Linked DNA regions of Macaca fascicularis. The protein of the gene in region 1 purifies or fractionates together with the protein of each later gene. This does not show direct contact. Links are inferred from orthologs where the notes say so. Each region holds a gene or a part of one and is shown in the gene's direction. Other genes may lie near its edges. The genes, in order: BCL7C, ACTL6A, SMARCC2, DPF2, SMARCD2 and ARID1A.

The links.
Region 2: the proteins of BCL7C (region 1) and ACTL6A purify together in Homo sapiens (affinity purification with mass spectrometry; 3 studies listed by BioGRID and IntAct, counting the BioPlex papers as one, with this or other methods). This does not show direct contact. The link is inferred for Macaca fascicularis from reciprocal best matches to the Homo sapiens genes BCL7C and ACTL6A.
Region 3: the proteins of BCL7C (region 1) and SMARCC2 purify together in Homo sapiens (affinity purification with mass spectrometry; 4 studies listed by BioGRID and IntAct, counting the BioPlex papers as one, with this or other methods). This does not show direct contact. The link is inferred for Macaca fascicularis from reciprocal best matches to the Homo sapiens genes BCL7C and SMARCC2.
Region 4: the proteins of BCL7C (region 1) and DPF2 purify together in Homo sapiens (affinity purification with mass spectrometry; 4 studies listed by BioGRID and IntAct, counting the BioPlex papers as one, with this or other methods). This does not show direct contact. The link is inferred for Macaca fascicularis from reciprocal best matches to the Homo sapiens genes BCL7C and DPF2.
Region 5: the proteins of BCL7C (region 1) and SMARCD2 purify together in Homo sapiens (affinity purification with mass spectrometry; 3 studies listed by BioGRID and IntAct, counting the BioPlex papers as one, with this or other methods). This does not show direct contact. The link is inferred for Macaca fascicularis from reciprocal best matches to the Homo sapiens genes BCL7C and SMARCD2.
Region 6: the proteins of BCL7C (region 1) and ARID1A purify together in Homo sapiens (affinity purification with mass spectrometry; 5 studies listed by BioGRID and IntAct, counting the BioPlex papers as one, with this or other methods). This does not show direct contact. The link is inferred for Macaca fascicularis from reciprocal best matches to the Homo sapiens genes BCL7C and ARID1A.

Annotation. Positions count from the first base shown.
Region 1 is NC_088394.1:29,068,280-29,072,233, reverse strand, and holds the start of BCL7C (B-cell CLL/lymphoma 7 protein family member C), read left to right. Parts: upstream 1-1,154; 5' UTR 1,155-1,400; coding exon 1,401-1,492; intron 1,493-2,042; coding exon 2,043-2,121; intron 2,122-2,386; coding exon 2,387-2,495; intron 2,496-2,587; coding exon 2,588-2,749; coding exon of another isoform or gene 2,750-2,759; intron 2,760-3,954. UniProt on the Homo sapiens protein: May play an anti-apoptotic role.
Region 2 is NC_088376.1:91,326,933-91,330,432, forward strand, and holds part of ACTL6A (actin-like protein 6A), read left to right. Parts: intron 1-1,587; coding exon 1,588-1,688; intron 1,689-2,604; coding exon 2,605-2,702; intron 2,703-3,500.
Region 3 is NC_088385.1:62,971,584-62,975,083, reverse strand, and holds part of SMARCC2 (SWI/SNF complex subunit SMARCC2), read left to right. Parts: intron 1-216; coding exon 217-302; intron 303-1,347; coding exon 1,348-1,429; intron 1,430-1,522; coding exon 1,523-1,615; intron 1,616-2,525; coding exon 2,526-2,595; intron 2,596-2,836; coding exon 2,837-2,906; intron 2,907-3,500. UniProt on the Homo sapiens protein: Involved in transcriptional activation and repression of select genes by chromatin remodeling (alteration of DNA-nucleosome topology).
Region 4 is NC_088388.1:9,039,884-9,044,035, reverse strand, and holds the start of DPF2 (zinc finger protein ubi-d4), read left to right. Parts: upstream 1-1,352; 5' UTR 1,353-1,387; coding exon 1,388-1,419; intron 1,420-4,152. UniProt on the Homo sapiens protein: Plays an active role in transcriptional regulation by binding modified histones H3 and H4. Is a negative regulator of myeloid differentiation of hematopoietic progenitor cells. Might also have a role in the development and maturation of lymphoid cells.
Region 5 is NC_088390.1:70,346,792-70,350,744, reverse strand, and holds the start of SMARCD2 (SWI/SNF-related matrix-associated actin-dependent regulator of chromatin subfamily D member 2), read left to right. Parts: upstream 1-1,153; 5' UTR 1,154-1,164; coding exon 1,165-1,380; intron 1,381-3,953. UniProt on the Homo sapiens protein: Involved in transcriptional activation and repression of select genes by chromatin remodeling (alteration of DNA-nucleosome topology).
Region 6 is NC_088375.1:208,331,523-208,334,891, reverse strand, and holds part of ARID1A (AT-rich interactive domain-containing protein 1A), read left to right. Parts: coding exon 1-110; intron 111-2,497; coding exon of another isoform or gene 2,498-2,617; exon of another isoform or gene 2,618-2,853; intron 2,854-3,153; coding exon 3,154-3,369. UniProt on the Homo sapiens protein: Involved in transcriptional activation and repression of select genes by chromatin remodeling (alteration of DNA-nucleosome topology).

The DNA of each region.
Region 1 (3,954 bases):
TTATACCCTTAACCTCGGGACATGGTCACGCCCAAACTCACAGACACAACAGGCACATCTTGAAACACACACACACACACAGCAGCACAAATTTTGACATGGTCTTATCTGCTGACAAGCCAGCCTCAAATAAAGTCAACCAAGACACACTCACTTTCTTTAAGTAATGCACATTTTATTTAAGTCATGTGATGGATTTTCACAGAGTACATATGCCCAGGGAACCAGCACCGGATCACACAACAGAACTGGATCAGCTCCCAGAAGCTCTCCCCTCATCCCCTCCCAATCCTAAGGGCGACCACTATCTTGACTTTGGTGCACTTTAAATTAGTTTTGTCTGGTTCTGAACGTAATACACCTGGAACCATCTAGTATGTACTGTTGTATTTGGCTTCTGTCACTCAAGATTTCGTCATGCGACTTGTCTATGTTGCTGGGTGTAGCCGGGCATGTCACTCCCGTTGCTGTGTCTATGTGCATGGTAATGAGTAGGGCATCATTCATTTTCCATTCTGTTGATGGGTTATTTCCAGTTTGGGGCTGTTATGAAAGGGCTCTGAACGTTCCCAAGCACCCTCTTGGTGCTCACACCTACACATTTCTGCTGGGTGTTGACAGCCTAGGAGTGGAATTGCTGGATCACAGAGGTGGCATATGTTCGGCTTCACTAGAAAACTGCCAGTTCTCAAAACGTCTCTACCAATTTACACTCCCCCAGAAATACAAGAGAGGTTCAGTCGCTCTACTTTCTCGCCTCCACATGGTGCGGTCTTTTTCACTTTAGCCATTCTGGTGGGTAGAGACCTACTCGTATTCGCAGCGCCTGGCGCGTAATTGGCGCTCAGTTAACAGGACTGTTGAATGAATGGATGAATGAGTGTTGGGCGGTGTAGACCGAGAGCCTGGCGAGGGCGGACACACGCACGCACTCCACACACAGCGTTTCGCGGACACCCACCGCGGCGCACGCACCCCAGGACACAGACCCTCTCGAGCACCCCGCGCCCACGTGGTCTGAACGCACCGCCTCGGCCCTGCCTCGCGCGTCCGGCCGCCGAGCAGTACCCAACTCCCGCTCTCGACAGCGGGCAGGGGGCGCTGCGCGTCCAGGCGCTCCGAGGGGGCGGGCCCGGGTCGGGGCGGGGCCGGCCGGGCTTCCAGGCCTGGGCTCTGGCCGCCCGCGCCACCGGGCCGCTCCGGGGACGGGCCGGGGCGGGGCACGGCGGCAGGAAACGGGGCGGGGACTCGCGGAGGCGTTGGGGACGAGAGAGGGCGCGGCCAACTCCCGGGGGGACGGCAGGCCGAGAGCGCGGCGCCCGGGCCTGGCGCCGAGCCTGAGCCCGCCGGACGGGAGGCGGCCCCGCCGCGGGCTCGGCTCCGGCCCCAGCCCCGCCAGCATGGCCGGCCGGACCGTACGGGCTGAGACCCGGAGCCGGGCCAAGGATGACATCAAGAAGGTGATGGCGACCATCGAGAAGGTCCGGAGATGGTGAGCGCTGCCCGGGGGCCAGGGACGGGACACGGCGGGACCACCACCACCTAAGGCGTCTAAGCTGCCTTCGCCAGCTCTGGGCCCCGGTGTTCGCTGTATCCCCGCCCACTAGCTTTGCCCTGGATCTGTCCCCGTTCCCCTGGCTACTCCTGGGGGTCTACAAAGCGTGGTCCCCAGTCGTGCTCTCCCAGAGTGGGAGCCCCCGTTTGTGCCCCGCCCCCTAAAGCTTTGACACTCCTTCTGCAAGTGCGCCCCGAGATCTGCAGGTCTCTGATCCCGGGCCAGGCCCATAGCCACGCCCCCCGTGTGTGCCCCAGGGGTCCGCAGAGCCAGGGCCCAAATCATATCCTCTCTCTAGAGGCACCCACCGCCTGTGCCCTGGGGTTTGCAGGGCTCTCTTTCTCCATGTAACTATGCCCCATTAGCAAAACTGTTGCTACCCTCCTGTGCCTCCCCAACCTCTGCAGGTACCCCCAGATGTGTCCGGCTCCTGGGGGGGTGGGTCTCCCCTCAGGCCTCTCTGACCCAGTCCCCCACCCTCCCACAGGGAGAAGCGATGGGTGACTGTGGGCGACACTTCCCTTCGTATCTTCAAGTGGGTGCCAGTGGTGGACCCCCAGGAGGAGGTGAGCAACCCCCATTCCCACAAGGCCCTGCATCTGTGCAACCTCAGGCAAGCTCCTCCCCACCCTGACCTCTACCTCCAGCTCCCAGAGACCTCAGATGCAGCAGAACAGACAGATGGGAACCATCATTAGCAGCTCCTCCCCTTTTTCCCTCTTTTCTGTTCCACACCCTGAGTTCGAGCCCTTTTGCTTCTCAGTGCCTCAGTTTCCTTAGGTGTATGGTGGGGCTTTCCAAGAGCTCTGACCCTAATCCTCTAACCCCCAGGAGCGAAGGCGGGCAGGTGGCGGGGCAGAGAGATCCCGTGGCCGGGAACGTCGGGGCAGGGGCGCCAGTCCCCGAGGGGGTGGCCCTCTCATCCTGCTGGATCTCAATGGTAGGTAGGGATCCTGAAATGCGGAGGGCTGTGGGGACTGAAGGAGTGTATTAGGGATCTCAGGCCAACCATCTCGGCTCTTGCTCCCACAGATGAGAACAGCAACCAGAGTTTCCATTCGGAAGGTTCCCTGCAAAAGGGCACAGAGCCCAGTCCTGGGGGCACCCCCCAGCCCAGCCGCCCTGTGTCACCTGCCGGACCCCCAGAAGGGGTCCCTGAGGAGGCTCAGCCCCCACGGCTGGGCCAAGAGAGAGGTAGGACCAGGTACCTCCCAGGAGCCCTCTCCTCTAAGTCCTGTCTTCTCCAGAGTCTAACCTACCAGCTTATCCCTATACCTGCTCCCCATCTTGTGCACCTTCCTCAAGGTGCCTTCCGACTCCTGCAGAATCTCTCTGTAGTTGCTGTCTCATTCCTCTGGTCTCTTAGGATCTATAGATGACATATCACTGTCTGAGACTTTCATGTAAATTAATTTTTTACTATCTTTCTCCTCACTCTCATGTCAGTTTCCTGAATGTTGGGCCCATATTAATCCTTTTTTTTTTTTTTTTTTTTTTTTTTTTTGAGACAGGGTCTCACTGTGTCACCTAGGCTGGAGTGGTGCAGTGGTGTGATCATAGCTCACTGCAGCCTTGAACTTCCTGGGCTCAAGCGATCCTCCCGCCTCAGCCTCCCAAGTAGCTTGGACCACAGGCATATGCCATTTGTATTTTTTGTAGAGGCAAGGTTTCACCATGTTGCCCAGGCTGGTCTCAAACTCACTCACTCAAGCGATCCTCCATCTTCAGCCTCCCAAAGTGCTGGGATTACAGGTGTGAGCCATCACACCCATACCCGCCCCCCCTTTCTTTTTTTAGAGAGAAGTTCTCTGTCACCCAGGCTGGAGTGCACTGGTGCAATCATAGCTCACTGCAGCCTCAAACTCCTGGGCTCAAGGGATCCTCTGGCCCCAGCCTCCCAAGTAGCTGGGGACTACAGGTGTGTGCCACCACACCCAGCTAACTTTTAAATTTTTTGTAGAGATAGGGTCTCGCTATGTTGCCAAGGTTGGTTTCGAACTCCTGGCCTGAAATGATCCTTCTGTCTCAGCCTCCCACGGTGCTGGGATTATAGGCGTAAGTCACTGTGCTTGGCCCTATGTGATCTTGTTCACTACTGTATTCTCAGAATAATATGGGACACAGAGTAGGTGCTCAGTAAATATCTGTTGAGTGAATAAATAATAGTGATAGTCATTGGGGTGATTAATAATAACAGGAATAACAACAGTATTTATTGAGCTCTTACTGTGTGCCAGGCGCCCTGGTAAACACTTTACATGGTTGGGTTTTTTTCTTTTCTTTTCTTTTTTTCCTTTGAGTTTCACTCTTGCCCAGGCTAGAGTGCAATGGCACAATTTTGGCTCACTGCAACCTTCACCTCCCAGGTTCAGGCAGTTCTCCTGCCTCAGCCTCCTGGG
Region 2 (3,500 bases), on another chromosome or scaffold:
GGCATGTAACAAAATTTTAGATTATCAGAAGGAAAGCAAGTGTTCAGAACCAACCACATTGTACAAACAGTGTAGGTATAGCGAGCTACTCTTACCATTTAGGGACAAGTTTTATATGAACATAGGGAACTGTTTGCCAATCGTGTTTCCAGACACCAGCTAAGAGTGAGCCTTACAAGCAGGCCTTTCTCAGGCTTGCAGTGTTAACTCTTTCATGTATAGTAAGTAAATGGGTTCACTAAGTTAAAAGTGCTTAGAACATCCAGGTGACAATTCTGTAAACAGGGGAATAAAAGATTATAAGAAAGATTTTAAGACATGGAGTTGCTTTTTATTACTCTGAAAAAATTTGGAATATGGGAAGAGGATTGAAGATGGAGTTCTTAGCAAAAAACTTGTATATTTTAACCAATAGAGAATAAAAGGTACCCTTGAAGGAGAATGAAAGGGAACAATTAGGGATGTAGGAAAAAATTCAGGGGAAGAATAAGAAAAGAAAAAGTTTCTGGAAGCATAAAATTCCATTTATTCTCAGTGTTTTCCGCTGTGACATTGAAAGCTTTACACTAAGAAAGAAGTTAAAAAAATCCAGGTGGGCCTGTGGAAATATATAATTAATGACATTTTTTCTTTGGGCTGCAGTAGAAAAGTTTGTAAACTCTTGTGAAGGCAATACTGTTATAATTTAGAGAAGTCAGATGAGATTAAAAATGTTAAGTGTCCATGAATTTGCCTAGTAGAAGGTCATTCGCGACTGGGGGCGGTGGCTCACACCTGTAATCCCAGCACTTTGGAGGCCGAGGTGGGTAGATCACCTGAGGTCAGGAGATAGAGACCAGCCTAGTCAACATGGTGAAACCCTGTCTCTACTAAAAATGCAAAAATTAGTTGGGCATGGTGGCGGGCACCTGTAATCCCAGCTACTTGGGAGCCTGAGACAGGAGAATTGCTTGACCCCAGAAAGCAGAGGTTGCAGTGAACCGAGATTGCGCCATTGTACTCCAGTCTGGGCGAGAGAGTGAGACTCCATCTCAAAAAAAAGAAGGTCATTAATGACTTATGTCAGTAGTTTTAATGGAATGTTTAGGTGGAAGCCAAATTGAAGACAGATGTTCTTCTTTGAATTTTTAACATGTCTTTTAGTCTTTTTCCAAATAGATTGTAAGCTTTTTTGAGTGTTGGGTCTAGACCATACAAATCTTTGTTGTTTTTTTTTTTTTTAAACCCAGCAGTAGTATCATTTAGAAGGCCATATAATTCTTCTGTACTTCCTGTTATTCTGATCACATTCTGGGCCTCTAATAAGTATTTATTGAATTGAATAACATTTACTTGGTATTTTAGGTCTGTTAGATTAATTACATTTGGGATAGGTCTGGGGGCTGGAGGGACCAAAAAGAAGTTCTATATATCTAGAAGACAAAGGTAATCTTTATATAAAGTACTGTGGTATGAAGTTGATCTGTAAAATCAGTAGGTTCTGTATAATACGGTATTAATTGTTAAGTCACAGAAACAATTTCTCAAAATATGTTGTATTCATCTTCAACTATGCATTGTTTCCAAGTTACTAATCTTATATTCTAGTTGAAGACTGGGATAGTTTCCAGGCTATTTTGGATCATACCTACAAAATGCATGTCAAATCAGAAGCCAGCCTCCATCCTGTTCTCATGTCAGAGGCACCGGTGAGATAAAGATTTTCTTTTTCATGTTTCTGTAGTTGTTTTTTTTTTTTTTTCTTTTTTCCTTTAGTTTTCTACTCATTTGATGAATATTTTTCTATAAAGAGGCATAGAAATTCAGAAATTCATATTTTGAATTTGAAAATTAGGGAAAAAGATTAATTTTTTAATACTATTGTAACTTTCATTTTACTATTCTGATAAAATATGCAGAGAACAACAAAACACACTAATGAATTCTTGTGGTTATTTATGTATTTCTAGGGATTTAACATTTTATTTCCTAGGACTGCTTCCCATTTTGAATTACGAATCATTTCTTGTGCCCCAAGGGCAGCGTATATCTACTTTATTCAAGTTTCCAAGAGAGAATTGAGATGTTGAACAAGGGCTGGAAATTTCTGGACCAAAGTCTCTTGTGAAATACATTTGGTACATAGACAGAAACGACCCAGAAAGCAAGCATAATGGTCATAAATTATCAGTATCTTATTGTTGCTAACTTATAGTTTCTTTTATGAATACCATCTATAAGTGGGAGAATTTGGTGGTCTAAAATTCATACTTAGGATTTGGATTGACCATATTTACTCTTTAGATTTAATAATATGTTTATAAGAATACTGATTTCCTCATATGTGGAAAAGTCTCTAATTTCTAGAATTTATAGAAGCAATTTTATTATTAAAGAATTTTAATTCTTATCTGATTGATTTGTTAAATTTAATCTACATCTAAAGAAATATAGAGGTTTTGTTTTTATTTTTGTGAGATATTATTATGAAAGATTATTTCCTATGGTATTTTTTGCTGTTCTTATTGTTTTATTTCTTTGTTAATATAGTGCTAGATTTTATCTGGAGATAAATCAACTTTTTAATTCTTAATAACTTGCATTTCTTTTTCCCCTCTTCTCAAGTGGAATACTAGAGCAAAGAGAGAGAAACTGACAGAGTTAATGTTTGAACACTACAACATCCCTGCATTCTTCCTTTGCAAAACTGCAGTTTTGACGGCGTATCCTTGAAAGAGTAATACCTTTCCTCTTGAAGTGTATACCATACTACTGAATGTGATAACTCTGGCAGAAGACATAAGCCAATTATTGCTTGTTCAGAAGTTGTTTTTTTCTCTTTTCTCTTGCTTTTTAGCTATTCATCTTTTGGTGTTTCTCATTAGAACTGATGATACACTAGAAAGTATGAGGGAAATAAAGTAACACTCAAATTCTGAGTGTTAAGACGTTTTTGTTTTTAGGAAGGTGCATGTGGATAGAAGGCAATATTTTAACCAGTTGGCTTAGATGAAATGAAAGATTGCCATTTTCTCCCTCCCTTCCAATATCACAGAAAACTGGAAATTGGCTGTAAATTCATTCCCCTTCAAATTTAGTCAGTCATCAAGTCCCACCTATTCTTTCCTGCTATTTGTTTCTCTCTTTCCCACTGCCACAGCATTAGGTGGAAGCTATTTCCAGGATTACTGAAGCACATCCTCTTGTCTGCCCATTCTTTACACTGTTGATCTAATAATCTTTCTATTTTTATTTATTTATTTATTTGGTAGAGATGGAGTTTCACCATGTTGCCCAGGCTGCTCTCTAACTCCTGGACTCAAGCGATCTGCTTGCCTCGGTCTCCCAAAGTGCTGAGATTACAGGCATGAGCCACCATGCCCAGCCTCTAATAATCTTTCTAAAGTGCTAGTCTGCTTTAAGCTAGAATCATCTTCTACATTTCTTCCTTTTACTTTCAGACCGTACTGAGGTGCTTGCAGTTCTCTGACCTCGCTGTGTTCTCTTGCCTCCTGGTCTTC
Region 3 (3,500 bases), on another chromosome or scaffold:
AGGCTGAGACAGGAGAATTGCTTGAACCTGGGAGGCAGAGGTTGCAGTTAGCCGAGATCGTGCCATTGCACTCCAGCCTGGGCAACAAGAGCAAAACTCCATCTGAAAAAAAAAGAGGGAGATCAGTTCAGCATGGGATTTTGTGAAAGGATTTTAAGTGATGATAGAATTTACAATAGAACCTTGACATGCTTCTTCCGTACCTTGATTTTGTAGATCAAATGTTTCCTAGATTTCAAAGCGGGAGGCTCCTTGTGCCACATTCTTGCAGCTGCCTACAAATTCAAGAGTGACCAGGGATGGTGAGATGATTCTCTCTATTCTTCTTACATTTAGTTTAGAGGAAATCCCTCCTTTTGATTCCCTGGGGTCTTTCTGGGGTAGAAATTCTTGTGAGTCTTTATTTTGCTGGGTCAGTAGACCTGACTTGTTAGGTCAGAAAAATGGTTGGGAGTCAGAGCCAAAACAGTCGCCAAGAGTGAGTGTGTACTCGAGTATCAGTGTGTGTTTTGTAGAGGAAAAGGGATTCTTAGGTTGGCGTCTGAAACCTTTTTTTGTCCCTTTGGAGTAAGCACAGAGAGTGATTCATGGAGTTGAGATCAGTGAACCTCAGATCCCAGGTGATTTTGGCAATAGCTGTAAGCAAGCTTGCCTCCTAATTTCCCATATTAAGAAGTCATGACTGGGTGCAGTGGCTCATGCCTGTAATCCCAACACTTTAGGAGGCCGAGGTGGTTGGATCATTTGAGGTCAGGAGTTCAAGACGAGCCTGGCCAACTTGGCGAAACCCCATCTCTACTAAAATACAAAAATGAGCTGGGCATGGTGGCGGGCACCTGTAATCTCAGCTACTTGGGAGGCTGAGGCCGGATAATGGCTTGTAAAGGGGAGGCAGAGGTTGCAGCTAGCCAAGATCACGCCAGTGCACTCCAGCCTGGGCAACAGAGCAAGACTCCCTCTCAAAACAGCAACAACTACAAAAAAAAGGCTGGGTGTGGTGGCTCATGCCTGTAATCCCAGCACTTTGAGAGGCCAAGGCAGGTGGATCACCTGAGGTCAGGAGTTCGAGACCAGCCTGACCAATATGGTGAAACCCTGTCTCCACTAAAAATACAAAAATTAGCCAAGCGAGGTGGTGTGTGCCTGTAGTCCCAGCTACTGGGGAGGCTGAGACAGGAGAATTGCTTGAACCTGAGAGGCAGAGGTTGCAGTGAGCCAGGATCACACCGCTGCACTCCAGCCTAGGTGACAGAGCAAGACTCCATCTCAAAAAACAAAAGTCACATGCCCTCACCTCATCTGCAGACCTGAGCTATACCACTCACTAGATTATTGCCTCTTCACAAGGCGGCGTTACGATTTCCAGAATCCATCACGCATGGACCGCAATGTGGAAATGTTTATGACCATCGAGAAGTCCTTGGTGCAGGTAATAGGCATATCCCCTATTTATCTCCCTTCCCTCAGTGAAAATCTAAAACACTCCTTTCCCGTGATCTCATTCTATTTCTTTTCTCCACAGAATAATTGCCTGTCTCGACCTAACATTTTTCTGTGCCCAGAAATTGAGCCCAAACTACTAGGGAAATTAAAGGACATAATCAAGAGACACCAGGTAAATGGTCTGATCAGGAGAGGTTTCAGAAACTCCATGACTCTTTTCCTGATGTTTTCTATACCAAGCAGCAGCCCTGAACTACCATGTTTTCTGCTTCAGAGGTGGCTCTGTCTACTGGGAAGACTTGAGTTAAAGCCTTGAGTCTGGCCGGGCGCGGTGGCTCAAGCCTGTAATCCCAGCACTTTGGGAGGCCGAGACGGGCGGATCACGAGGTCAGGAGATCGAGACCATCCTGGCTAACACGGTGAAACCCCGTCTCTGCTAAAAAATACAAAAAACTAGCCGGGCGCGGTGGCGGGCGCCTGTAGTCCCAACTACTCGGGAGGCTGAGGCAGGAGAATGGCGTGAACCCGGGAGGCGGAGCTTGCAGTGAGCTGAGATCCAGCCACTGCACTCCAGCCTGGGCGGCAGAGCCAGACTCTGTCTCAAAAAAAAAAAAAAAAAAAGCCTTGAGTCTGTCTTTTTCTGTCTACTTCTCCCATTTTTCAGTCCTGACAGGTTTGCATTACTGTTCCTAGAGACTTATGTTGGCCTGGGGAAAAATAGTATCCACTTCTATTGAGCTAGAGATTGCTTGATTTCAGATAAATGAAATCCCTGCTCTTTAGAACTTTATAATAATGAACAGATGTCATTGATAAGGACGTACAGTTGACTTTAAATTTCCCATGTGTAGATTATCTGTTCAGAGGATTATTTGTAGCAATTTTTAATTCTTTGACTTTTCTCCATTATTAGCACAATCCCAGCTGTTTCCCTCTGCCACTTAGCTGGTGTGTGCTTAGAGAATGCAAACTAACTTTAATACTATTATAAGCAAAATATGATTAGGAAGGCAGCTCTGTGGCTAAACCTTGAGTAATTCAGAGGGGACCGTAATTTACCTGCTTCTCCTTGTGCCATCTAGGGAACAGTCACTGAGGATAAGAACAATGCCTCCCATGTTGTGTATCCTGTCCCGGGGAATCTAGAAGAAGGTGAGACCTGGGTTTTCCTGGCCACTTGAGTGGATGGTTTGGACTAGGAGGCAGAGGACTAAGATCACCATTCAGTACCTGGGCTCCTCTTCTTTCAATCTTGAATCCTCCTAACACCTTAAGTTCCTATTACCAAGTCCCCTGCTACAACAGGAGAGTGCATTAGTTAGGGCTTATGTACAGTATTTTTTTTGTGTCCCTCTTTAGCTTATATCTCTCCCTTCTCTTCCTCTATCCCCAGAGGAATGGGTACGACCAGTCATGAAGAGGGATAAGCAGGTTCTTCTGCACTGGGGCTACTATCCTGACAGGTGAGGATGGGTTCCTGGGGCAGGTTTAAGTATAAGAGCCAGACCCAGAAGCCCTGGAACATCTAGCAGAGCAAGAAGCCACTCGTTCAGAGTTATTTTTAGATCACTTAATTTGTTCTCCTCTCACCTATTAAGTGAACCTCAGTCTTGGGGGAGGTTTGGACTTAGTGAACAAGCCTTGGGCTAAAACAATTGAGGCTTTATGTATGAATTGATTATCCCCACATAATTTTTGATAAGTAAATGTTAGAAACAATCTAAATGTCTAACAGTAGGAAAATGTTTCAGTAAATTTGTATATCTACTCAGTGGGCTATTATGCAGCCTCCAAAGTGATATAAAATAACATGGACAATTTATAAGTGAATATTATTAATAGTTGCAAAAAGCAGCATGTAGGCCCGGCATGGTGGCTCACGCCTGTAGTCCCAGCACTTTGGGAGGACAAGGCAGGCGGATCACCTGAGGTTAGGAGTTCGAGACCAGCCTGGCCAACATGCTGAAACCCTGTGTCTAAAAAAAAAAAAAAAAAAAAAAAAAAATTAGCAGGGCATGGTGGCGCACGCCTGTAGTTTTAGCTACTCGGGGGGCTGA
Region 4 (4,152 bases), on another chromosome or scaffold:
TCTAAATCTGCTGAAAGGGAGGTCGTGGTGACAGGAGCTGTTTCAAGGGAACAGGTGGGAACAAAGTTCCCATTAAACTGGATGGAAGCGGGACCTAGAAACAAGGTAACAGAGATAGGGAGTACTATTTGCTTTTAAAGGGTGAAAAGAGGTGATAGTTGAAGATTGACTTGGGCTGTTTTTTGTTTTTTGGTTTTTGGTTTTTTTGAGACAGAGTTGGCTTTGTTGCCCAGGCTGGAGTGCAGTGGCACAATCATGGCTCACTCACCTTCGACCCTCCTGTGCTCAAGCAATCCTGTCACTTCAGCCTCTAGAGTAGCTGGGAACACAGGTGCACGCCACCACATCCGGGTAATTTTTAAATTTTTAGTAGCGAAGAGGCCTCGATATGTTGCCCAGGCTGGTCTCGAACTCTTGAGCTCAAAGCAATCCTCCTGCCTCTGCCTCCCACGGTGCTGGGAGCCACTGTGACTGCCCTCCTCCTGCTCTTTTTTTTTTTTTTTTTTTTTTTGAGACAGAGTCTCGCTCTGTCTTCCAGGCTGGAGTGCAATGGCATGATCTCAGCTCACTGCAACCTCCACCTCCCAGGTTCAAGCGATTCTCCCCCTTCAGCCTCCCGAGTAGCTGGGATTATAGGTACCTGCCATCATGCCGGGCCAATTTTTGTATTTTTAGTAGAGATGGGGGTTTCACCACGTTGGCCAGGCTGGTCTCGAACTCCTGACCTCAGGTGATCCACCCGCCTCGGCCTCCCAAAGTGCTGGGATTACAGGCCTGACCCACCGCGCCCGGCTCCTGCTCTTATTTTTTTATTTTATTTATTTATTTTTTTGAGACCGAGTCTGGCTCTGTCGCCCAGGCTGGAGTGCAATGGCGCAATATCGGCTCACTGCAAGCTCCGCCTCCCGGGTTCACGCCATTCTCCTGCCTCAGCCTCCCGAGTAGCTGGGACTACAGGCGCCCGCCACCACGCCCGGATAATTTTTTGTATTTTTAGTAGCGATGGGGTTTCACCGTGTTAGCCAGGATGGTCTCGATCTTCTGATCTCGTGATCCGCCCGCCTCGGCCTCCCGAAGTGCTGGGATTACAGGCGTGAGCCACCGCGCCCGGCACCGCCTCCTGTTGCTCTAAATAGAAGAGGCGGCCCTCGAACCGAAGCTCCGGGACGCACGCCAGTCTCCGGTTGCGCCTGCGCGTCGGGCTCCCGTGGGGTCCTACCCGGCCCCCGGGAACAGGCCTAAAGTTCTTTCTTCGGTGCTCGCTCTCGTGCGCGCGCCCGGACGGCGCCTGCGCAGAGGGCGAGGAACCTGGTACCCCGGTGCGGTCCCGGCGCCTGCGCGCTGCGGACTTTGGGGCCTCCCGGCCCGAGGGAGAGGAGCAGGGAAGATGGCGGCTGTGGTGGAGAATGTAGTGAAGCTGTGAGTGGTGGTTTCTTTCTCTCCTAGGGCGGCAGGTTTTGTAAAGGGCCTGGGAGTAGGGGGCTGTGGGGAAAGGGACTAGGCGGAGAGAGGGACATCCCCGGGAAGGCCATGTTGCGACTCCTGGTGGGGAGGGCAATAGGAGACTCCGGAGAAGACGTTGCGCTTCTTTGGAAACTTGTGGAGGCCCTGATGGGGGCACACTGGAGCCCCGACGGGCAGCCTCTCTGCTGGGCTGTGTGGCCTCAGCGTTCCTCGGGGCTGACGGTTTCCAGAGCATGGCGCCCTGCCTGCACGCGAGACTCACCGTCCCGGTCCTCTCCCGAGACGCCTCAGTCCGGAGGAGCGGGGCCGAGGCCCGGGCGGCCCCACGGCTAACCCGCCGCCCATCCCGCCCCGTCCCGTCCGCTGCAGCAACAGGCTCGGCGGCCCCTGTGGGGTGCACTGCGGGGCTGGCTGTTTCAGTTCCAAGCAGCCCCGTGATGTTTGGGAGGATCTTGGGTGGCAGGTACCTAAGACTACAAATATTCTTGGGAAGCATTTGTCGAGGAGCGGATCCAAAAGGGGAGTGGGCCTTGGCGCCTTCCAGTGGCAACCATCAAAAACCTGCAACTGAACCAAAGCCGTTCAGGACAGCTTAGTAGCCTAAAGGGGCATCTAAGTGGGCATTCTTCCTATGATGCGATACCGTTGTGCTGGTCAGATTTCAAGCAAAGTTAAAGTTAATAGCTGTTGGGGCCATGGACACTGACCTATGAACTGCTTCCTGTGAGTTAAAGATGCTTTGGGACTGACTTGATTTATTCCTACAGGAGAATCAGAATGAGTTTTAGATTGGGTTAATGCCCGGTAGGCGAATAGAGCTTCTTTTAATGGGTATATTGGGCTTGGTGCAAGGGTGGGAAAATTGAGTGGTGTCTAACTGTCCAGTCAGGGTTTTTGGATTTTGGCTGGGTGATGAGGTAAAGGTTCGGTAAGTATTCTAAGGGACTCACAGCTTCTCATCTGTCTTTGTCGTGGCCTGAGCCCCTCTCTTCCTAGGGGCCTTTTTAAAGAGTAAGTTGCTTCTCCCTCCTGCCTGAAGCCTTTTCTTTGAGAATGCTTTCCCACTTCCATTAAGCTAAGTGCCTTTCCTCCTCTTGTGGTTTTTTTTTTTTTTTTTTTTTTTTTAAGTTGCTTTCTGCTCTATCCTGCTGTCTCTTTCAGCCACCCCTCCTCCCAACACTATTGTCTTTCTGATCTGCCCACTCCAGTTTCCCCAGCTCTCTCTTCAGGCTGACATTTTTCTCAATTTAGAAATGACACTGTTGATCTACCATTTATCCAGTTATCCTTTCTGACTCAGATGTTCTTTCTTTGTTTCCCTGTGTCTTTGTTGACTTCCCTCATCCCATTGTAAGGGGATGTTTTACACAAGTTTCTCCAAAAATAAAAAGAAAGATTCTCATTGTACTGGAGGAGTATCAGACTTGCCTAGGTTTTGAGAGTTAAACGTAGTGAGGCTCTTTGTGTTGGAAGGTTTTCCTCGGGGAAATAGGGTTGCCAGTGCTTTCAAGTTGTGTCATAAGTGAGGGGTTGCCCATTTAAACAGAGCATGACATCTTGTTTCTCTTTGAAAAACTGTAGAGATTGTGAGCATCACCAGCCACTAATTCCTGAATGCCAGTAATGAGAAACCAACTCTCTCCTCCTCATTTCTAGCTGCACAGGGCCTCAGATCACAATTAATACGTACTCCCGCAGAATTATCCCTTTAAGAAGGGGCTTCCATTCTTCCAGTTAATTTGGAGATAATTTTCTGGCACTTCTCTTGATTATAGTGTACGTAGTCTTCTGACAGCTGATGTTATACATTGAGTATGTTGAGGTCGGACCACTGGCTCATCTTTTCTTTTTTTTAATTTTTTTAGACAGAGTTTCGCTGTTGTTGGCCCGGGCTTGAATGCAGTGGCACGATCTTGGCTCACTGCAACCTCCGCTTCCTGGGTTCCAGCAGTTCTCCTGCCTCAGCCTCCCGGGTAGCTGAGATTACAGGTGCCCACCACCACACCTGGCTAATTTTTGTATTTTTAGTAGAGATGGAGTTTCATCACGTTGGCCAGGCTGGTCTTGAACTCCGGACCTCAGGTCATCCACCTGCCTCGGCCTCCCAAAGTGCTGGGATTACAGGCGTGAGCCACCGCGCCCGGCCTTAAGAATTTTCTTATTTGTAAGTTTCTGTCCCTGCCAAATGTGATGTCAGAAATGGAAGTCTTGGCTGGGTGCAGTGGCTCACGTCTATAATCCCAACACTTTGGGAGGCTGAGGCGTGCTGATCGCTTGAGGTCAGGAGTTCGAGACCATCCTGGCCCACATGGTGAAACCCCATCTCTACTAAAACTATAAAAATTAGCCAGGTGGGGTGGCACACACCTGTAGTCCCAGCTACTCGGGAGGCTGAGGCACAAGAATCGCCTGAACCCAGGAGGCGGAGGTTGCAGTGAGCTGATGTCACACCACTGCCCTCCGGCCTGAGTGACACTTTAAGACTCTGTCTTAAAAAAAAGAAAGAGGCGACTGGGCGCGGTGGCTCTGTAATCCCAGCACTTTGGGAGGCCGAGGCGGGCGGATCACAAGGTCAGGAGATTGAGACCATCCTGGCCAGCATGGCGAAACCCCACTCTACTAAAAATACAAAAATTAGCTGGGCGTGGTGGCGTGCGCCTGTAATCCCAGCTACTCGGGATACTGAGG
Region 5 (3,953 bases), on another chromosome or scaffold:
GCATTTGCTGGGGAGTAAAGTACCAGGCTTCCTTATAGTGAGGCAGAGCCACGTTAAAAATGTGCTGTAAGAGCTCAGCCTTGGCCAAGTCGACCATTCACCAGCTGGGTCAAGTCTGGAGCCTCCTAGGTCCCTTGGCAGTTCCGAGCTACCAGGATGAGCTTTTACAGGAAGTTGAGTTGGCTGCTGTTCTGCCCCAGAGAGCAGCTGAGTCTTTTTTCTTTTTTTGAGGAGTTTCACTCTTGCCGCCCAGGTTGGAGTGGAGTGGAGAGATCTTGGCTCATTGCAACCTCTGTCTCCCGGGTTCAAGCGATTCTCCTGCCTCAGCCTCCCGAGTAGCTGGGATTACAGGCGCCAGCCACCACTCTCGGCTAATTTTTGTATTTTTAGTAGAGACGGGGTTTTCACCATGTTGGCCAGGCTGGTCTCGAACTTCTGACCTCAGGTGGTCCACCCGCCTCAACCTCCCAAAGTGCTGGGATTACAGGCGTGAGCCACCGCTACCGACTCTGAGTTGGGTCTTTAATGTGGAAGATGCAGAAAGGAGACTTGACAAAACTATTTTCGGTGAGGCTGCTACACCGGGAAAGAGTAGTAGCAACTGCTCATTCACTGTGAAGCCTCAACGTGACCTTAGACCTCTGACCCCGCGCCTCACTCGGCGCTTCCGCGCGCAGCTTCCGCTCCCGCCCCTCCGATGAAGGGCGGGGCCAAAGGTGGGGGGTGGGACTCTGAGGTCGGCGGTTAGGGGCGGTGCCTGCTGGGGGCGGGTCTCGCGAGGGGCGGGATTCAAGGAGGCACTCGAGCATTGGGCACCAGGTAGAGGCGGGGCCTAGTGCTGGGCTGGGTTGGGCGGGGCAGGGAGTTCGTAGCCGCCTCTGGGTAACTCGACTCGGGCGGCCAAACCTCCGGAGTCCGGGGGCGGCAGGCGGGCCCACAGCAGATCCTGGATCCGGAATCTCCGGCGCAGGAGCGGAATCTGTCCCGAACCGGGTCTGTGAGGAACTCGCGAACTTGGATTAGGAAATCCCGGAGCCCGGATCGACAAATCCCGGAACCCGGAATTAAGATCGCCAAGTCCCGGATCGCGGAGTACAGAGCGCGGAGTGGACTCGACGCGTAGCCCGGAGTCCGGATCGCGGCACCGCGGGACGGGACGGAGCGATGTCGGGCCGAGGCGCGGGCGGGTTCCCGCTGCCCCCGCTAAGCCCTGGCGGCGGCGCCGTGGCCGCGGCCCTGGGAGCGCCTCCTCCCCCCGCCGGACCCGGCATGCTGCCCGGACCGGCGCTCCGGGGACCGGGTCCGGCTGGAGGCGTGGGGGGCCCCGGGGCCGCCGCCTTCCGCCCCATGGGCCCCGCGGGCCCCGCGGGGCAGTACCAGGTGAGTAGGGAGGACGCGAGCGGACGGGGGCGTGCGGCGCCGCGAGGGCGCCCGGGCCGGGGGCTGAGGGGGCCTCGAGTGAGGGCCTTGGGGAATGCATGAGGAACTCCGGGAGACGGTGGAGGGCGGGCCAGATCCCTCGGGCTGCGGCGGGTGGCGGTGGAGGAGTGGGGAAGGGGGAGCGAGTCCTGCAGCGGAGGGCTGGAACCAGCTGGGAGGCCTGGGGGCTTCCGCGGCACAGAGATTCCGAGTGACTGGGAGATGGAGGAGTTTGGGGAACCAGTGAATTGTGGGCGGGTGGGTTGAGAAGTCTAGGGTAGGAGGGCTAGAAAGTGATGAGAAAGTTTGGGAAAGGGCCCTCGCTGAGAAACCGGGGTTACCCTGCATCGGCCTTGGTCCCACTCCAAGTCTGCCCTGTTTTTTCTGGTTGCGAACTGGCCGAGCTCTAGCGTGTCTGAGATGGCTCCCGGCTGCTAATGAGGAGGAAGGAGCCTGGCTTCCCACGGGCACGGGACGCTGAGGCTACTAGGGCCAGGGGATTCATTCCAGCTTGTGCACGGGCGGACTTTACTCCAGAGGCAGGGCCAGGCGCCTTCGCTGGGGAGGACTCCAGCTTAGACCAGAGACGGTGGTGGCCAGGCTTGAGGGGAGGCCCAGCCTAGTCAAAGGCCGGCTCTCTTCTGGGCTTTCTGCCTCCTGTCATCGTGTCGGGTAGTTGATTAGTCTGGACGTGCAGAGTGGAACCCTGCTGGTCTGGGGCCCGAGGAGTCTGCGAGAGTTGCTTCAAAGAGTGCTGTCCTGACCCCTTTGGGGTTTTGAGAGCTGCTCAGGTTTCAGCTTCAAAAGCCCTTGGAAGGCAGCGACTTCTGCTCAGTGTGTGAGAACCTCAGCCTGACCCTGCTGGTCCCCTAGTCTGCTGTTCAGGTTGCACCAGCAGGCTTGGAAACTGTGCCCATCTGCCTTATCATCCTCTCTGCATTTTTATTTGGCCTTCAGGTTCTAACTCCGCCACATCCGAAGCCATATGCCCCAGCATTTGACACTGGCTTCTCCCAGGGTCTGCTGTGGGCTTCCTCTGTTTTCGACTCCTGTCTCCAGGCGGAGGTCCTTAGGGATCCTCGTGGAGTATACACAGCCTACCTGCCCCACTGGGCCTCACATCTAAGGAGATGGCTTAACTAGGGACAGTGACTGGATTTTTTTCCCTTCTTCCTCCTCATTCTTCCTCCTTTCTCAAGAGAAAACAGAGTCTGGATATGGGCAGAGACAGACCTGGTCCCAGGGACTCCAGCTGGGGCTCATCTTTCCCACCCTACTCTCCCCCTTGGGGATTCATGGGCCCAGGGTGTTGCTGAGGGCTCCCTGCATCAGTCATTGTAGCCCTTGGGCCTGCCCACTGAGACCTGGCCTGGGCACCATCTGTGGGCCTTTGGCCTTGGAAGGACCTGGAACAGACAAGCCGCTCCAGTTTCCTTGGCATGCAAAAAGTCATAGGAAATGTGCCCTTGAGACAGCCCCTAAGAGAATGGATTCCACATGTTTGGTGGGGGGTGGCCTTGGGCTTGTGGCAAGGCCAAGCTGGCTGGCTGGTTAGGCCTGGGCTGCTAGCTGTGGGGAAGTAGGAGATGGCCCTGAGTCTGGGTTTCCCATCCCACTAGCTTTCCTCCTCTTGGCAGGAGAGGTAGATGGTACAGAGAACCCAGCCAGCTAACTTTGGCTGAGTTTGAAGAGGATCCTACTTGCTCTCTTTCCAAGTCCAGTTGTATGACTTCCAGGAGAAGGGACTTGAGATCTGGGAAACAGAGGGGTTCCTGTCTGTTAGGGCTCATGAGATGTGCTGGAAAAGCGAGAATTTGAGGCCCAAGCTGAACAAATAGTTGAAAGAAGGGAAGTGATGACCTCCCTTCCTCCAGAGGGTGGTTCTGGCTGTGGATCACAGTTAACAGAGGAACCTAAAACAAAAACAACAACAAAAAACCCTCCAGGGCAGGATGTGGTGGCTCACACCTATAATCCTAGCACTTTGGGAGGCCCAGACAGAAGGATTACTTGAGATCAGGAGTTCAAGACCAGCCTAGGCAACATAGTGAGACCATAATTTCTCAAAAAAAAAAAACCCAAAAAAATTTAGCCAAACTTGGTGGTGTGCGCTTATGGTCCCAGCTAGTCGGGATGCTGTGGCAGGAGGATTGCCTGAGTCCAGGAGTTCAAGGCTGTATTGAGCTATGATCCTGCCACTGCACTCCAGCCTGGGCAACAAAATAACAAAAACCTCAGATTTCTGGGTTCACTCCAGAGAGTTCAAAAAGTTCAAAATCTTTTTTTTTTTTTTTTTTTTTTTTGAGACGGAGTCTCACTCTGTCGCCCAGGCTGGAGTGCAGTGGCATGATATCAGCTCACTGCAACCTCCACCTCCCAGGTTCAAGCAATTCTCTGCCTCAGCCTCCTGAGTAGCTGGGATTACAGGTGCCCGCCACCATGCCCGGCTAATTTTTTTTGTGTTTTCAGTAGACACGGGGTTTCACCATCTTAGCCAGGATGGTCTTGAACTCCTGACCTTGTGATCCACCTGC
Region 6 (3,369 bases), on another chromosome or scaffold:
TAATGATGTCCCTCAAGTCTGGTCTCCTGGCAGAGAGCACATGGGCATTAGATACCATCAACATCCTGCTATATGATGACAACAGCATCATGACCTTCAATCTCAGTCAGGTGAGTATCAGTGCCTGGGGAAGATTGAGATGGTTTGGGATCTTCTTAGTGTAGACAATGGGAATGTCTCATCTTTAGCCACCATGGTCTTTCTCTTTCACTCTTGTAGATATCTTCCATGCCAGTACTTTGCTTCCTTTGCCTCTGGGCACGGGCCCAGGATCTTGAGAGCAATAATAATTTGTTTACATGATACCTTAACACAGGATTGACTTCAAAAGGAATTTGGGAGACACTTTGGGGTATTAGTAAGAATGCAGATTCTATTGATGCCAGTGGGGACACCACATTTTCTAGAAGAATCTTGTGTGTTTTGTTTTTTTTTAATAGAGACAAGGTTTCACTGTGTTGCCCAGGTTCATGAACTCCTGAGTTCAAGTGATCCTCCCAAAGTGCTAAGATTACAGGCGTGAGCCACCAGGCCTGGCCTGAATCTGTGGTCTTTTTATCAGTGAGCAGAGTACATTGTTTCCATTTTTCCCTTTCTTCTTTGAACAGTAGGGGCCTTTGTTGATCCCAGTGTCCTTAGATGTAGAGTTGGATGGGGGATTTGGTTGTTTAACAATATTCTTACAAAGCTGATTGTTCAGACCCACCCTCCATAGGATGTGCACACTAGTAGAGGTGCTGGAAAGAGTTTGTGCTGCATCATCCTACTCTTTTTCTTTTGATCATCTTTAATACCTACCAACCTGTATATCAAGGAGCTGACTTATTAATAGTTACCATTTATTGTGCTCTTATTTTGTGCCAGGTCCTTAATATTCTGTTTCATGTCATCCTAGCAACAGCCCTCAGAGACAGGAGATATGGTCATTTAGGGATGAGTAAATAGGCTCAGAGTCTTACCCTTGTTGAGGTTCACATAGCTGTCAGTAGAATCTATCTGATTCCTAAGCCTGATTTTATTTCCATTGCATATTATTGCCTACCATGAGAAAGGAAAAATTTTGATAGAGCAATTTTCATATGCCAGGTATTTGACATCTCCCATTTACACCTCAGAATAACCCTGTAAAGTTTAGGAATTTTTATTTTATACAGCTACTTCCTGGAAAAACCAGAATTTTTTTTTTTTTTTTTTAAGAGACTCTGGCACCTAGGCTGGAGTGTAGTAGTGCCCTCATGGCTCACTGCAGCCTCAAACTTCTGGGCTCAAGTGATCCTCTTGCCTCAGCCTCCTGAGTAGCTGGGACTACAGGCAAATGCCACCATGTCCAGCTATTTATCTATTTTGAGACAGGATCTCCATTACTCAAGCTAGAGTGCAGTGGTGCAATCACAGCTCACTGCAGTCTCGACCTTCCAGGCTCAGGTGATCCTCCCACCTCAGCTTCCCAAGTAGCTAGGACTACAGGTGCACGCCAACATGCTCAGCTAATTATTATTATTATTATTATTATTATTATTATTATTATTATTATTATTTTGAGAGACGGGGCTTCACCATGTTGCCCAGGCTGATCTCAGACTCCTGGGCTCAAGTGATTCACCTGCCTCAGCCTCTCAAAGTACAGGTGTGAGCCACTGCTCCAGGCCCCAGCTAACTTCCTTATTTTTTGTAGAGGCATGGTCTCACTGTGTTGCCCAGGCTGGTCTCAAACTCCTAGGCTCAACTGATTCTCCCACTTCAACCTTCCAAAGTATTGGGACTACCGGCTGGGAGCAGTGGCTCACGCCTGTAATCCCAGCACTTCAGGAGGCCGAGGCAGAAGGATCGCTTGAGGTCAGGAATTTGAGACCAGCTTGGCCAACATGGTGAAACCCCGTCTCTACTAAAAATACAGAAATTAGGCTGGGCGTGGTGGCTCACTCCAGTAATCCTCACACTTTGGGAGGGAGGCCAAGGTGGGTGGATCAGTTGAGGTTAGGAGTTCAAGACCAGCCTGGCCAATATGGTAAAACCCCATATCTACCAAAATATAAAAATTAGCCGGGCCTGGTGGCACACCTGTAATCCCAGCTACTTGGGAGGCAGAGGCAGGAGAATCACTTTGAACCCAGGAGGCAGAGGTTGCAGTGAGCTGAGATTGCACCACTGCACTCCAGCCTGGCCAACAGAGCGGGACTCTTGTCTCAAAAAAAAAAAAAAAAATACACACACACACATACACACACCCCACACACACTATCCCGATGTGGTGGCAGGCGCCTGTAATCCCAGCTACTCGGGAGGCTAAGGCAGGAGAAGAATCACTTGAACCCAGGAGGCGGAGGCTGCAGCCAGCTGAGATCACACCACTACACTCCAGCCTGGATGACAGTGAGACTTTGTCTCAAAAAAAAAACAAAAAAAAGTGTTGGGATTACAGGTGTGAGCCACTGCTTCCAGCCCCTAGATCTAATTTGAAAGCCCTTATTTTTTTCCCATCTGCTCTACTGTTCAGCCAAAGATTGTGACTGGAGAGGAGTGTTTTCTTCTAGAGGTAAATAAATGGCCTATATATTACCCAAGGTGGAATTTGGGTCTCTGTAGCCCCAGTTTGGACCAGTGTTTGGAGAGCTGAAGCCTCATCCCACTCCTTATGCTGCAAGATCCATGGAGTTCCAGCCCCCTGGACTATTGGGGAGCTTGGAGAAGAGAGCCATGAACATCTGCCCACATTGCATTCTCTTCTCTTAGCTTGAGTCACCATGCCTAAGCTTGGGTTCCACTTGGCAGTGAGATGGAGAGAATGTCCTAAAAGAGATAATATGGCAGTGACCACCAGGTTGGAAACTGGCCTGGTGAAGAACAGCAGAAGATTGATTGGGAAAAGAGAAGGCTAAGAGATGACTGGCCCTGGTGGGTGAGGTGCAAAGCTGTTGGCTAGTGTTCCTGGAGATAGGCTTATGTGAAGGTAGGTTGGGCAGAAGAAAGAACTTTGTGTTGGGCATAGAAGAGATTAAGATGAACAATTTGCTCTGTGGAGAACCTTTGGGAAAGGAGCAACTCTGCCTCTCCCAGCTGATACAGAAGACTTGGGGAGGTCTCTCAAGTCAAGGATTCTGTTCTTTGACCACTTTTATCCCTTAATTTATTTCCTGTTCTTTCTCTTTTTAGCTCCCAGGGTTGCTAGAGCTCCTTGTAGAATATTTCCGACGATGCCTGATTGAGATCTTTGGCATTTTAAAGGAGTATGAGGTGGGTGACCCAGGACAGAGAACGCTACTGGATCCTGGGAGGTTCAGCAAGGTGTCTAGTCCAGCTCCCATGGAGGGTGGGGAAGAAGAAGAAGAACTTCTAGGTCCTAAACTAGAAGAGGAAGAAGAAGAGGAA